Linked DNA regions of Danio rerio. The protein of the gene in region 1 interacts with the protein of each later gene in a pairwise test. Links are inferred from orthologs where the notes say so. Each region holds a gene or a part of one and is shown in the gene's direction. Other genes may lie near its edges.

Region 1 (6,481 bases):
ATAGACACTGCATTAAAAGAGCAGTTACCACAAGCGGTAATTCGTTTTTTGGAATTTGAAGCAAAGATGATATACTACAGACATAAATACACATTAATGTTCATATGTTTTTTTTTTTAAATCAAAATTTTTAAAACTTTCAAGGATTTAAGATGCTGATGACCGTTAAACGCATCATAACAGGCGTGTGAAAGGGATCCATAGCATTCTTTTTTCCACGCTATAAGTTACAGTTATGTTTGAGATTGCATTTGGATTATTGGTCATTTATAAAATGCAAGTCAATGGCTACCAGAACTTTGGGACTCAAACAAAGAAATATATATAAATATATATATATATATATATATATATATATATATATATATATATATAGGCAAAACTAAACTAATGAGTTGTTCCTGTACATACACTGAAGTCTTATGAAGAAAATCGATCCGTCTGTCCACGAAATATTATTTACAGATATGTGACAAGATTTGTAAACACATTCAGGACCATTTGGTGAGCCTGTGGAATAATGTTGTAAAAAAATAAATAGTTGAACTGTAATGAATTATTTACACAGACTGAATTAAATAAGTCACTACTAGGTATGGGCTGGTATAAGATTCTGACGGTATGATAACCTTGGATAAAAATATCCCAGTTTCTTGGTATTGTGATTACCGCTCTAAAATGAGTTGTTTATGTTTTTTTAAATGTCTGGGTAAACAAACAACTTTCCCCCCCTTTGAACACAACACATTTTATTTTAAGAAACATTTTCAATATTTTGAAACAGTAAACATGTCAGGCGACATAATAAAAATCTTCATTAGTTTCAAAAACAGATTTCTTTGCAACTTTAAAAGGCATCTTTTGATATCTAACTATCTAAAAAAAAATTTACATACCTATTTAAAGACGTTCAAAAAGAGGAAAAGAATTGGCAGCCAGAGGAGAGAATAAAGTAAAATTGAATTTCCTGTCCCATAGACACTGCATTAAAAGAGCGGTTACCACAAGCGGTAATTCTTTTTTTGGAATTTGAAGCAAAGATGATATACTTTTCTTTGGATTTAAAGTAAGTCTCTGCACTTTTCAGGTCTAAAGCATGTTTGGATGTTATAGTTTATAATTTGTTTCTCAAATATTTCCTGAATTGCAGGCTGACCAGTAGCTTTTGATGTGGAGGGTTAATTTCTTCTGGAGATACTGCTGCCCAAAAACTAAATTAGTCATAAAAAACATTTTAAAAACTACAAATACCTTAGGAACAGTATAAAAGAAAATGTTAGCCAGTTATCATCCTGTGCCTAGTCACTATACAATTGGATGGCCTTGGACAGATGTGTCCAAACTCGGTCCTGAAGGGCCGGTGTCTTGACTTTAGCTTCAACTTGCTTTAACACACCTGCTTGATTGGCTGGTCCAGGTGTGTTTGATTAGGGTTGGAGCTAAACTCTGCAAAACACCGGCCCTCCAGCACAGAGTTTGGATGGCCCTGGCGTATTTCCAGTAAATTTTCTTTTTTTTAAATATCCCTTTGAGACTTTTTAATTTTATTTCTACATACATTGTAAATGTTTACATTAATTTTAAGTTTGTTAAATAAATTGTCATAAAGGTAATTTTTGCAATTAACATAATAGATATTTACAAGACTACTCTTGGCTGACAATTCTTTGTATTTTTGCACTAAACTCTGCGCTGCTACTAATGTTTGTACAAAATATTCTAGTGGCTGCTTTAACACAAGTTTTTTTTTTTTTAGGCCAAATGCTTGCTCGGCTCGCTGCGATTCGGTTCGGAATCGTTCGGTTTTGTGTACCAGCTCAACTGATTCATTAATGGTCAGACTCAAAAGAACAATTCGCTCAGAGTGAATCGCATCGTTATTAAAGAATGAACAAAGAAAAAAAAATCAAGCAATTAAATGCATGTCTCGCCAAGTCCTACAGGTGCAGGTGCAGCATTTTCATTGTTACGGTACTAATTGTTATAACTGTATTTGTCCGCCGGTCATGCTAGCCATAGCGCTAAACCCGAGCATCGCACTAGAAGTGAACCCGAGCTGCGGTTTAAGACTATCCCGAGACCACTCTCCTTAATTAAGCTATTGTGCATTTACACACACACAGCGTATGACAACTGTTATTATATTATCCACATTGACACTACTTACATGCAATCATCAGGCTGTCGATTTTATCCCGAAAATATTACACTTTGTCCCCACCCCCTGGGTTTAAGCGGTCCATAAGAAATTTAAATAACAGACCGGAGACACATGCGCAAAATGACGCTCAGGGCGTAAAAAAAGGCAATTCACTGGTTTGTGCATTTCGTATGATTTGTATACCATTCTCATGAGATCTGCTCAATACATATGGTTTGTGCATCTGGCAAATTGCACAAATCTACGCGTTTTCACAGTGGAAAGCGCAGGACTGGTTTCAGCCAATCGGTTGTCAGTGTGGTTCGGTGTGTGTAGTATTGAACAGCGCGATTGGACGGTACTCGGTGTCAACGAGGAAGTGAAAACACATGCATACAGTACGAAACATGCTTGATGCAGTATAAACGACCTTGTTTTTATTGTCTTTAAAATAAAGGCACGATCTCTACAGGAGACAGGTTTGTGAAATTTAAGCTAATTGAATTTTGGTTGCTACAACTGTACGAGAAACGTGTAAAATCACTGCTGGAAGATCCACTTTATGGTAAATATGTCTTGCTGATAAGTTACTGACGTTCATTATTGTAAAAAGTAAACCGATAATCGTTTATAAAAGCACATTTTATTGCAACTGCCTTTTGGAAAATCATGTATCTCAAATTGAATTTAATCCTACTGCAGTTAACAGTCATTGCACACCAGCTGGCTAAAGACCCTTTATCATTTGTTTCTAACTTTAGACAGTGATGGTTTACGTTATTTTCAAAGTACAGATATACGTGTAATATAAAGGAAACTGGAATTAATTGTAAATGGGTGATGTTAGTCTGGGCTTAATTATTCAGTTAAGAAAGTTTGTTTACTTGACATATCTTAATAATCCACATCATGTGTCAATAATCTAGAATAATTAAAGTAAAGATAATGAAATACATTTTTAAAGTAAGGGTGTTGTGGTTTTATTTCAATTACTGTAAAATAAAATTAATATCCAACATAATATTTGCATTAGGATGCACAATACTCAATTTTGTTTTGCAATTATGATAAATTAATTTAAAATGTAGTTATCAATTTTTGACATGTTTTCATTCATTAATTTATTTTTTTTTTACCTAATCTGATTTATAAAGGCCTTCATAAAGAGCTAAAATATTCCTGAAACAACAAATAATAATCACACTTTTGTTAATTGTGATAAAAAATGACCGAAGTGAAAATTAATGGGAAACGACTTCAAGCAGAAATATTTGCCTCAACACTCAAACAAAATCATACAGAAAGATAGCTTTCTGACATATTAACCTCAAACTTAATTTTTTTTTCATATAATAAATTATATATACACTACTTGCAGTTTAAAATTAAAAAGACTAATTGGAAAATATGCAATTTATATCAGATATGAAACTTTTAATTTTTGTTTTTCAGTATTAAAAACAAATTTTGCCAAGTATCCCCAAATTATTTTATATCAGGGGTGTCCCAACCTTTTCTTATGAAGGGCCAAAAACTAAACTTGATTGAGAGTGGTGGGCCAGAGGTAAATATACCAAACCATGAAGTTGTCAATGTTATTTTCTAATTTATTATTATATTATATAAATTAATTAATTCCATAATTTATTGCATTTAAAATATTTTTATTGCATTAACAATTATAAACTTTTGTACATTTTATAATGAACATCTTACAATAAAAAACATAAACAATCCCATTTATAACACAAAAATCATTTTGCCTTAATTGGCTTGCTGATGTCTTCTGCAATGTCCGCTATCCATCAAATTACTTTAAATATTTTTTAATTAATTAAAATTAATTCTGATTCATAGCTTTCATTCATAGCTTTTCATAGCTTTATGTGAAACGTTTAATTTCAGTCTGCCTTTTTTTTACCTCGACAGTTACAAAAACAAAAGTTATGTAAAAATAAAATTGGCATTCTCCCCAAAATTCCCCATCGTTTTACCTCTCCTCTTAGATGGGATGGAGGGCCAAATCAAAGGTTACCGTGGGCCAACTTTTGTCCAAGTTTGGACAGCTCTGTTTTATATTATTCCAAATTATTTAAACAAATTTAGTAGCTTTGGTAACTGCCATGTGACCAGCAGCTCTAGTAGGTTAATTATTATTATATCATAACATCGATTTGATCGTGTAATAAATGCCATAGCAAGCATTTTGCATTTGTTCAGGTTCTGCCTTTTGAAAATGACATTTCAGGAGATCAGTCAGTAATGAATAATGCTGTAATGTTTGTGTGTGTGTGTGTGTGTGTGTGCCCCAGAAGTCTACAGCCTGCTGTGCAGACTGTGAAATGGCATCTCCTGTAGAGTCTGCTGTGGTGAAGAGTGCTGTGCTTGTTGCTCCCATCACTGCACTGGAATTCCTAGGGGAGGATTTTCTTTTGACAGGTGACTGACATTCATTCTTTTAATGAACAGGAAGCAAATCAACAAGCTAACAATCCACGGTGAAGTAAATTATGTAGACTGTGACTCATGGGCCAATATGGATGTGATTTCTCTAAGCAACCTGAAGTGTCTCCTAATGTCCCTCAAATTATTTTAGGTAAATTTAGTGCATTTAATAATCCCAATGACATTGGCTGCATCCGAAATTGTCTACTACTCAGAATGCACTGTATTTGAATTTACTACTCTACTTTTAAAAAGTATGTTCTATAAAGTATGAATGTAAGTAGTATGAATGAAACTCTGACCTACTACATCTGCCATTCTGTCATCATCATGTGACCAAAACATCAGTTGCGTTGCTTCACTCACATTCATAAATTCTCTCACTGGGCATCATGTGATAGCGTAGCGTGCATCAAATATGCATTTCAGATTCTCGTCGGAAGTAGTAGGTCATCCGGGTACTTTTCGCATACTGTTTTTTTAAATCTATGAATTCGGATGTACTACTCGGTTTGCATACTGTTTTTAACATACTATATAGTATGCAAATATGCGATTTTGGATGCAGCCATTGTGTTTGTGTTTATTTCATAATGAGGTTGCTCTAAATTGCACTGTAATCCCCTCATTTGTTTTTCCATAGTTGTATAATTTTCTGCTATTGATTTTACAAATTCTAATTCTGCAATGTTGCCTATTTTAAATGTTTTAGATGTTTTGTTTGTAACTGTGTTCAATTGCCTGCTTTGCACTACTATCAATGTTTTCACCAAATAAACTGATTTAGCTTTAAGATTTCCTTCTTTAATAATATTCGAATGTTATGTTGAAGTGCACTTGTGTCTCATATTAAAATTCATTTGATTGATTCTTCCCTATCAATTGTGTTGTGTTGTAGGGGAGGGACCAATCCTCTCTGTCTACAGTCTTCAAGCATCTCCTAAGAAATGTGCATCTATAAATGTACTCCAAAACTACCGTATCCATGGGATACGACCATATAAAAAACATCAGTCTGGAGGAATACCGTTTAGTGGTGCAAGCTCTGCTTCGGACAACAGCTACAAGGGAGATATTATTGTTTTTGGAGGAAAAGGAGTTCGGCTTGTCAGCTTCGAATCTGAAGGGCAGTGCCTGAAACTGATTGGTCCTCTCTTGGAGCTTCAAGACTGGGTGCTGGACATTCATTGTTTTAAAAGACAACCTCATTCACTGTTAGGCATATCCTTGGCCCACAATGCCATCATGCTCCTAGAAGCAGAGTCTGGTAACATTATCTCCTTTTACTCGTGCGTAGAGACTTGTCTTCTTTACTCAGCACTTATGGTTGGTCCAAATTGGGACTCTGTAGTGCTGGTGGGTGGGACGGTCTTCAACCAGCTTGTTTTGTGGAGGCCAGCTGGAACCAAGCTCAGTGGTCAGTCCCAAGTAGAGAGACGTCTACTGGGCCACAGTGGAGTCATTTTCAGCCTTTGCTACCTTCAGGAATCTGGGTGGCTGGCATCTGCTTCAGATGACCGCAGTGTTCGTTTGTGGAGCGTTGGCACATTGGGTGGAGATGCAGGTTGTGGAAAGGAATCGCCAACGTGTCTTCGGGTGCTTTATGGACATCAAGCACGAGTCTTCTGTGTAAAGCTTACACCAAGCCGCTTATTTAGTGCTGGTGAAGATGGTGCATGCCTGCTCTGGGAATGGGGAGGTGAAGGGAAGGTGGGATGTGCATTTAGAGGGCATAAGTCAGGTGGCGTGAGGGCTCTGGCTGTAAGCGAGGGAAGTATAAGCTGTAGGGCGGGATGGGTGGCTACTGGAGGTGCTGATGGTGGAGTAAGGTTGTGGAGAGTGGCAGAGGGTAAGAAAATCAGTGAAGAAACTCAGGAAGAGACTCAACTGGATCTT
Region 2 (5,968 bases), on another chromosome or scaffold:
CTATTTCACAGCACAGTATATGCTGTTTTGAAAGATATCGGAAGTAAATTGATGTTTTTGCCATCAGAAAGTTTTGTTTATGTTAGCAGGAAATTGCTAGGCAAGAAAATGCACACATATTTAAAGTCACAGCGAAAAGTATCAGACATGCATGCAGTCATTTTAACCAATATGGTAATTTAAGGCGAAAATGCTTAGTTCTTTGTATAAAAAAATAACAATGTCAGAAAGAAATACACTGATAGTAAGAAAACCGCAGGGTGTTATAAATATGTTAGTTTTATTTCAAAGAGTTATAAAATTACAAAAATTAAAAACTCTCTGTGTATCAATCCACTGGAACCTTGCAGATGAGTGATTAATCCGCTGATAAATCAGCTGATTTGACGATGTTTTTAAATGCTTTCTCCAAAGCTTGAAACGCTGTCAGTGATGTAATCAGCACACAAGCAGCCAATAGTGTTCAGCTTTTTCTGACGACTCCTCCCTCAAAATTTCATTGGCTGTGGTTTGGTAGCTTGAATGAGCTGATGGGGAATGAGTTGTTGTCAGATCATGTAGTGTGTGACCCCCCTCTTGTGGATCATTCACAGAGTGTTGCGTAGTGTGAACACCTCAGAGATTAAAAGACACAAAGTCAAGTCATGTAGTGTGAACGGCACAGCGAACTGCTGATGTTAAAAAAAATCCTGTAGTGTGAACTAGGCTTTAGTCACACCACGTGGCACTACCTGCTCTGCTTTTACTTAAAAAAAGTTCACTCAAAACTGAAGATTCTGTCATCATTTATTCATGCTACACTTATTCCAAACCTCGCTGAGTTTATATCTTCTGTTCAACCAAAAAGAAAAGAAGATCTCTTAAAGAAAGCTGGAAAACTGTAACCATTGACCTACGTGGTATTTGTTTTTCATAGTGTGAATGTTAATGGTTAGCGGCTTTCAGCTTTCTTTAAAACATCTTCTTTTATGTTCAGCAGAATAAAGAATATTAAAAAGGTTTGGAACCACTTTAGGGTTTTAATTTTCTTTTTCTTTTTTTTTGTGAAGGGTGAACTATCTCTTTACCATTACACAATAACAAGTGACAATGTTGGATTAATTTAACCATGCAGGTTCAAAATAAAGAGTGAAATGTTACCAGAATTGTAAGGCATTTTGTGTCTTGCTCTCTAGTTTCTACAGTGTCAGACATGGTAATAGTAATTATTTGCTTTTAAAGTAGTTTAACTGAATTTTAAGCACCTGAAAATGTGTTCCTAATGTCAATATACTAGCCATGATGCCATTCATCATCTCAGCTACCTTCTATACACAACACCCATAGTTTAATTTTCTTTAAAAATCATAGAAAGTCAGATGCGAAAAAGTATTTATAAGCACATAACATATTAAAACCCCACATAGATGTGGGTGGGGTGGGGGTGATTCTGTCATAGTCAGACTTGCAGATCTGGCAAAGTGTGGATGAATAATTAAAAAGCAATGCTGTAGTACCAATTGTTCAAACATGATTTTTCAGTTGTAAGATATCTTCTATTGAGAGGTTCTTGTTTTTGTCATCATGTGGGTCGATTTTTAAACCAAATGGGAGGAAGATTTAGATACTGATTTTGATGAGGAAACATTGGATGACATTTGGTCTTAGGCTAAGAAAGTATCTCTTTGTACACGTACAAGAGAAATACAATATAAAATGATACATATCTCCATACATGACTCCACATTTCTCCTCACCACAGACATCTTTTTAACCCTTCTAATTTGCCTCTGTGTTTAAAATGTAAAACTGATGTAGGTACTGTAACAGACTGCAAAAGTTTTGTTTTTGGTTCTGAGGAAAATGGAAAAGATCTTTAACATGCAGCTGGATTTTGACCCAGTTTCACTGATTTTGTGTATACCTAATAGATGCATTTGTTCATCAGCTAATAAGAAATTGTATAATATATTAACCTTTGCCGCCAGAAAATTTTTTTACTTTACTGGATTAGTGATAAATCTCCATTACTTAAAGGTTGGCACTAGATGCACAAGATCATTTTTGAGTTAATTCCCCTGGAACATCTTACCCATGTTTTACACCAAAAAAACAGAACATTTTTCCAAAGTTTGGATTCCATATTTGGATTATTTAGAAGCTAGTCTTTGCCCTATCATAAAAAGGAAAAGGAATGTTGAAACTGTATTATTATCTGAATTAGATGTTTTTAGCCCTTATTCTGATCTGTTTTATTTTGTGTGGTCCTGTTTTATATATAATCTGAACTTTTTTATTTTCCTTTTTTCTCCATTGTTTTGTGTCAATATTTGTCTTTTGAAGATGTTTTGTTATGTCTGTGTTATTGTGAAATTCCAGTAAACATAATTATGAGCTTCAAAGTTTTTGCATTCCATATAGCAAACAGTATGTGTGTAACATTTGTATTTTAAATAAAAAATCTTAAAATGTAAACAATTTATAAAAAAAAAAATCCCAGAATGTATAATGTATAAATTGTCATTAAATCAGATTATGTCAATTTTGACAAAAACGTCAGATAGAACCTTATAATTCTAAGGTGATGATTTAATGGAAGTAGGGTTGTGCGATTAATTGAATCGCAATCATGGTTTGAAACATTGCGATTAGCTAATCGCAGAAGGCTGCGATATGAAATATATATGTATTATATAATTTCCCCCACCCAGAGCAAATGCATGACTGCTTTCTGCATGTGATAGTCTTACTAGCCAATTGAGTGAGCACACTTTCGTTCTGCCCAAACAGAATTGCGCAACCAAACTGTGGAAAGCCCACAATAAAACATACAAACAAACAGGAAAGAGTGGATAAGTGGGATGATGGCGTTTGCCGCTTCATAAGCATTAATAGATGGTAAATGTCAGTAATATGGGAATATTTTGCTTTCAAAGTCACAGACACCAAACAAAAACAGGTCATTTGTAAGAGCTGTCACAGAATTGTTGCCACAGAATGAGGAAATACAACAACCAGCACTTAAAAAAGCACCACAGGCGGCTATTTGAGGAGTGTCTTGCTAAACAGTCAACTAAATTTATTGCCAGTGACACTCAATCTAGTAGCTAGCAACAGCAAAGGACAATTTCAGTGTTTTTTGCAGCTGTTACACCATATGAAAACATCACAAAGGCACCAGGGGATAACTAATGCCAGAACTCACTACTGTTTGCTCTAGATACAAATTAATGTTTAGTTTCTGAATATTTATAAACAAATTTGAATAGAAGTTGGAGTAAGTTCCTTTTTTAACTAACGCTCACCTCATTTTAGCAGTAAGAAGCTACAATACAGAATTTTGAGACAACGCTTGACTGCAAAATTAAATCGGAAATCAAATCGAAATCACAATATCGAAAAGTCAAAAAATCAAGAAATCGCAAGTAGATATTTTCCCCAAATCGCACAGCCTTAAATGAAAGTATATTTCTCTGGTTAAACTTACCCTATACTTATCTCTCAAATTAAATGGTAGTTTAACGCTCAATAAATAGTTTTAATTTAATTTGACTATTTTTTTTACCAATTAGCATGGAATGGGAAAAAATATATTTAAAAAAATGTGATTTGAAAAAGCAAAACTGAATTTGGAAAAAGATATTACACTGATTTCACTGTGCCCTATTTGATTTTCACCGCATGCAGAGTTTAACAGTGCTTGTCTGAATGTGTGTTCAGAGGTCTCTCTCAGAGTGACGCCGAGCTGTGCTATTTAAATACAGCCAGAACATTAGACCTGTATGGAGTGGAGCTGCATCATGCTCAGGTGCAATTTGCATTGAAAATCCTGCAGCTATAATAACATGTAATCTTGTTTTAAATTGGTCATGTTGATGAATGATTTAGTTCTCTTTTTTTAATCCCTGTCTATAGGATGCCAGCAACCCTGCCGTTTGGGTGGGCATTACATCAGGGGGCGTGGCCTTGTTTTGTCATTTAATTTGCTCCAGCTTTTTCCCCTGGTGAGTTCTGCCAATCAGATCCCTTTCCCTTTCTCTCTTTGTAAGTACATATTTTGACACATGCTTAATTTTTGTTCTTAAAAAGTCCACTTTTTTAACATTAATGTTTCTCTCTACTATAATTGACGTTTGAGAGTGCTACAACTATCGGGTTATGATCTGTGTTGTGATTATCATTACAATGAATAATTTACAAACACTGCAGAAAAGTATAATTAGTGTTATTAGTCTAATTAAAAGCCCTCAAACCACTGTTTTGATTCTGGTGTCATTTATTTCTGCACACTTTTGAATGCCTCCTTTCTTTTCAGGATTAACATCATCAAAATTTCATTCAAAAGGAAGAGGTTCTTTGTCCACCTACGCCGAAAACATGTAAGATACGCATGCCTAATCATGCTCATCCATCAAAACAAAAACAAAACACATAAATTAGCCTAATAAAGCCACATATTTAATGCCTGAAAGAGTCTGAACACTGCAAAGGCAACATCTTTGTTTCCGACTTGATGATTTGTGTTGTGTGTTTTTCCTCATTTTAATATATTGCACAGGGTGAGCTGGGCCACCATGTGGTTTCTCTATCCATGCCAAATTCACGTGCCTGTAAGAACCTGTGGAGATCCTGCGTGGACCACCACACCTTCTACAACAGGAAACCATCTCATTCAGCTTCAAAACTGAGGTGAATAGGCAGTCTTTATTCCTGGAGTTAATTAGAGATCATTGCTGCCAACACCAAATGAGTATGTGAGTTTAATTGCATGTGTTTTGTTAAAGCTCTATTCCCCTGTACCGAAAGCTGGTAGGAGAGCAAATGTTGAACCCAATGGTGAGGTCCAGCTCAGTGGAACAACTGGAGACCAAGAGTCTACCCTCACGGTCACCACCTAACACACCTAACTGGTAACTATGCTATATTATAGATCTTTTTTAAAGGAATGATTGAAAGCATTTTATGTATGTATTGTACAAACAACACAAACTTTTTTTTTTGATGAATTATAAAAGGGCCATTATATTTTACAACATAATATTATACAGTTGAAATCAGAATTATTAAACCTCCTTTGAATTTTTTTCTTTTTTTAATATTTCCCAAATGAGGTTCAATAGAGCAAGGACATTTTTACAGTATGTCTGATAATATTTTGTCTTCTGGAGAAAGTCTAATTTGTTTTATTTTGGCTAAAATAAAAGCAGTTTTTAATTTTTTAAAAGTCATTTTAATGTCAAAATTATTAGCCCCTTTAATCTATATATATTTTTTGATAGTCTACAGAACAATCCATGGTTATACAATAACTTGCCTAATTATCCTAACCTGCCTAGTTAACCTAATTAACCTAGTTAAGCCTATAATCTCACTTTAGGCTGTAAAGAAGTGTTTTAAAAAACATCTAGCAAAAAATCATTTACTGTCATCATGACAAAGATAAAATAAATCAGTTATTAGAAATGAGTTATTAAAACTATTAGAAATGTGTTAAACAAATCTTCTCTCTGTTAAATAGAAATTGGGGAAAAAAATAAACAATAATAATTAATAATTCTGACTTCAACTCAAAATAACATTGGGTCATTTTTCATTGAAACCATGCTATATACTGTATGTATGCATGTATATGTGTGTGTGTGTGTGTGTGTGTGTGTATATATATATATATATATATATATATATATATATATATATATATATATATATATATATATATATATATATATATATACATATATATACATATATATATATCTTTTGAGTAGAAGAGAAACACAATTTTCAACTTTCTTTTTAAATGCAAATGAGCTGCTTTTCCACACCCCCTTTATCAGAAGTGGGTGGTTACTTTGCAGCTGTTACTCAGATCAAACAAATGATCTTGCTGTGTTCTTTAAAACCTCGTCTGATTAAACGTCCTGACATTCTGAGCATACAGATGCCATAAATCCTCTTTCATTGTCAACTGTTAAATACACACTAGCTT

The links.
Region 2: the proteins of wdr6 (region 1) and ptpn3 interact in binary tests that used the Homo sapiens proteins (3 or more experiments, as listed by UniProt). The two-hybrid records come from large-scale screens. The link is inferred for Danio rerio from reciprocal best matches to the Homo sapiens genes WDR6 and PTPN3.

What each region holds. Positions count from the first base shown.
Region 1 is NC_133183.1:28,127,026-28,133,506, forward strand, and holds the start of wdr6 (tRNA (34-2'-O)-methyltransferase regulator WDR6), read left to right. Parts: upstream 1-2,515; 5' UTR 2,516-2,619; exon of another isoform or gene 2,620-2,702; coding exon of another isoform or gene 2,703-2,705; intron 2,706-4,452; coding exon of another isoform or gene 4,453-4,482; coding exon 4,483-4,579; intron 4,580-5,483; coding exon 5,484-6,481. UniProt on the Homo sapiens protein: Together with methyltransferase FTSJ1, methylates the 2'-O-ribose of nucleotides at position 34 of the tRNA anticodon loop of substrate tRNAs. Required for the correct positioning of the substrate tRNA for methylation.
Region 2 is NC_133191.1:29,689,682-29,695,649, forward strand, and holds part of ptpn3 (tyrosine-protein phosphatase non-receptor type 3), read left to right. Parts: intron 1-3,699; coding exon 3,700-3,787; intron 3,788-3,894; coding exon 3,895-3,983; intron 3,984-4,294; coding exon 4,295-4,358; intron 4,359-4,537; coding exon 4,538-4,668; intron 4,669-4,763; coding exon 4,764-4,889; intron 4,890-5,968.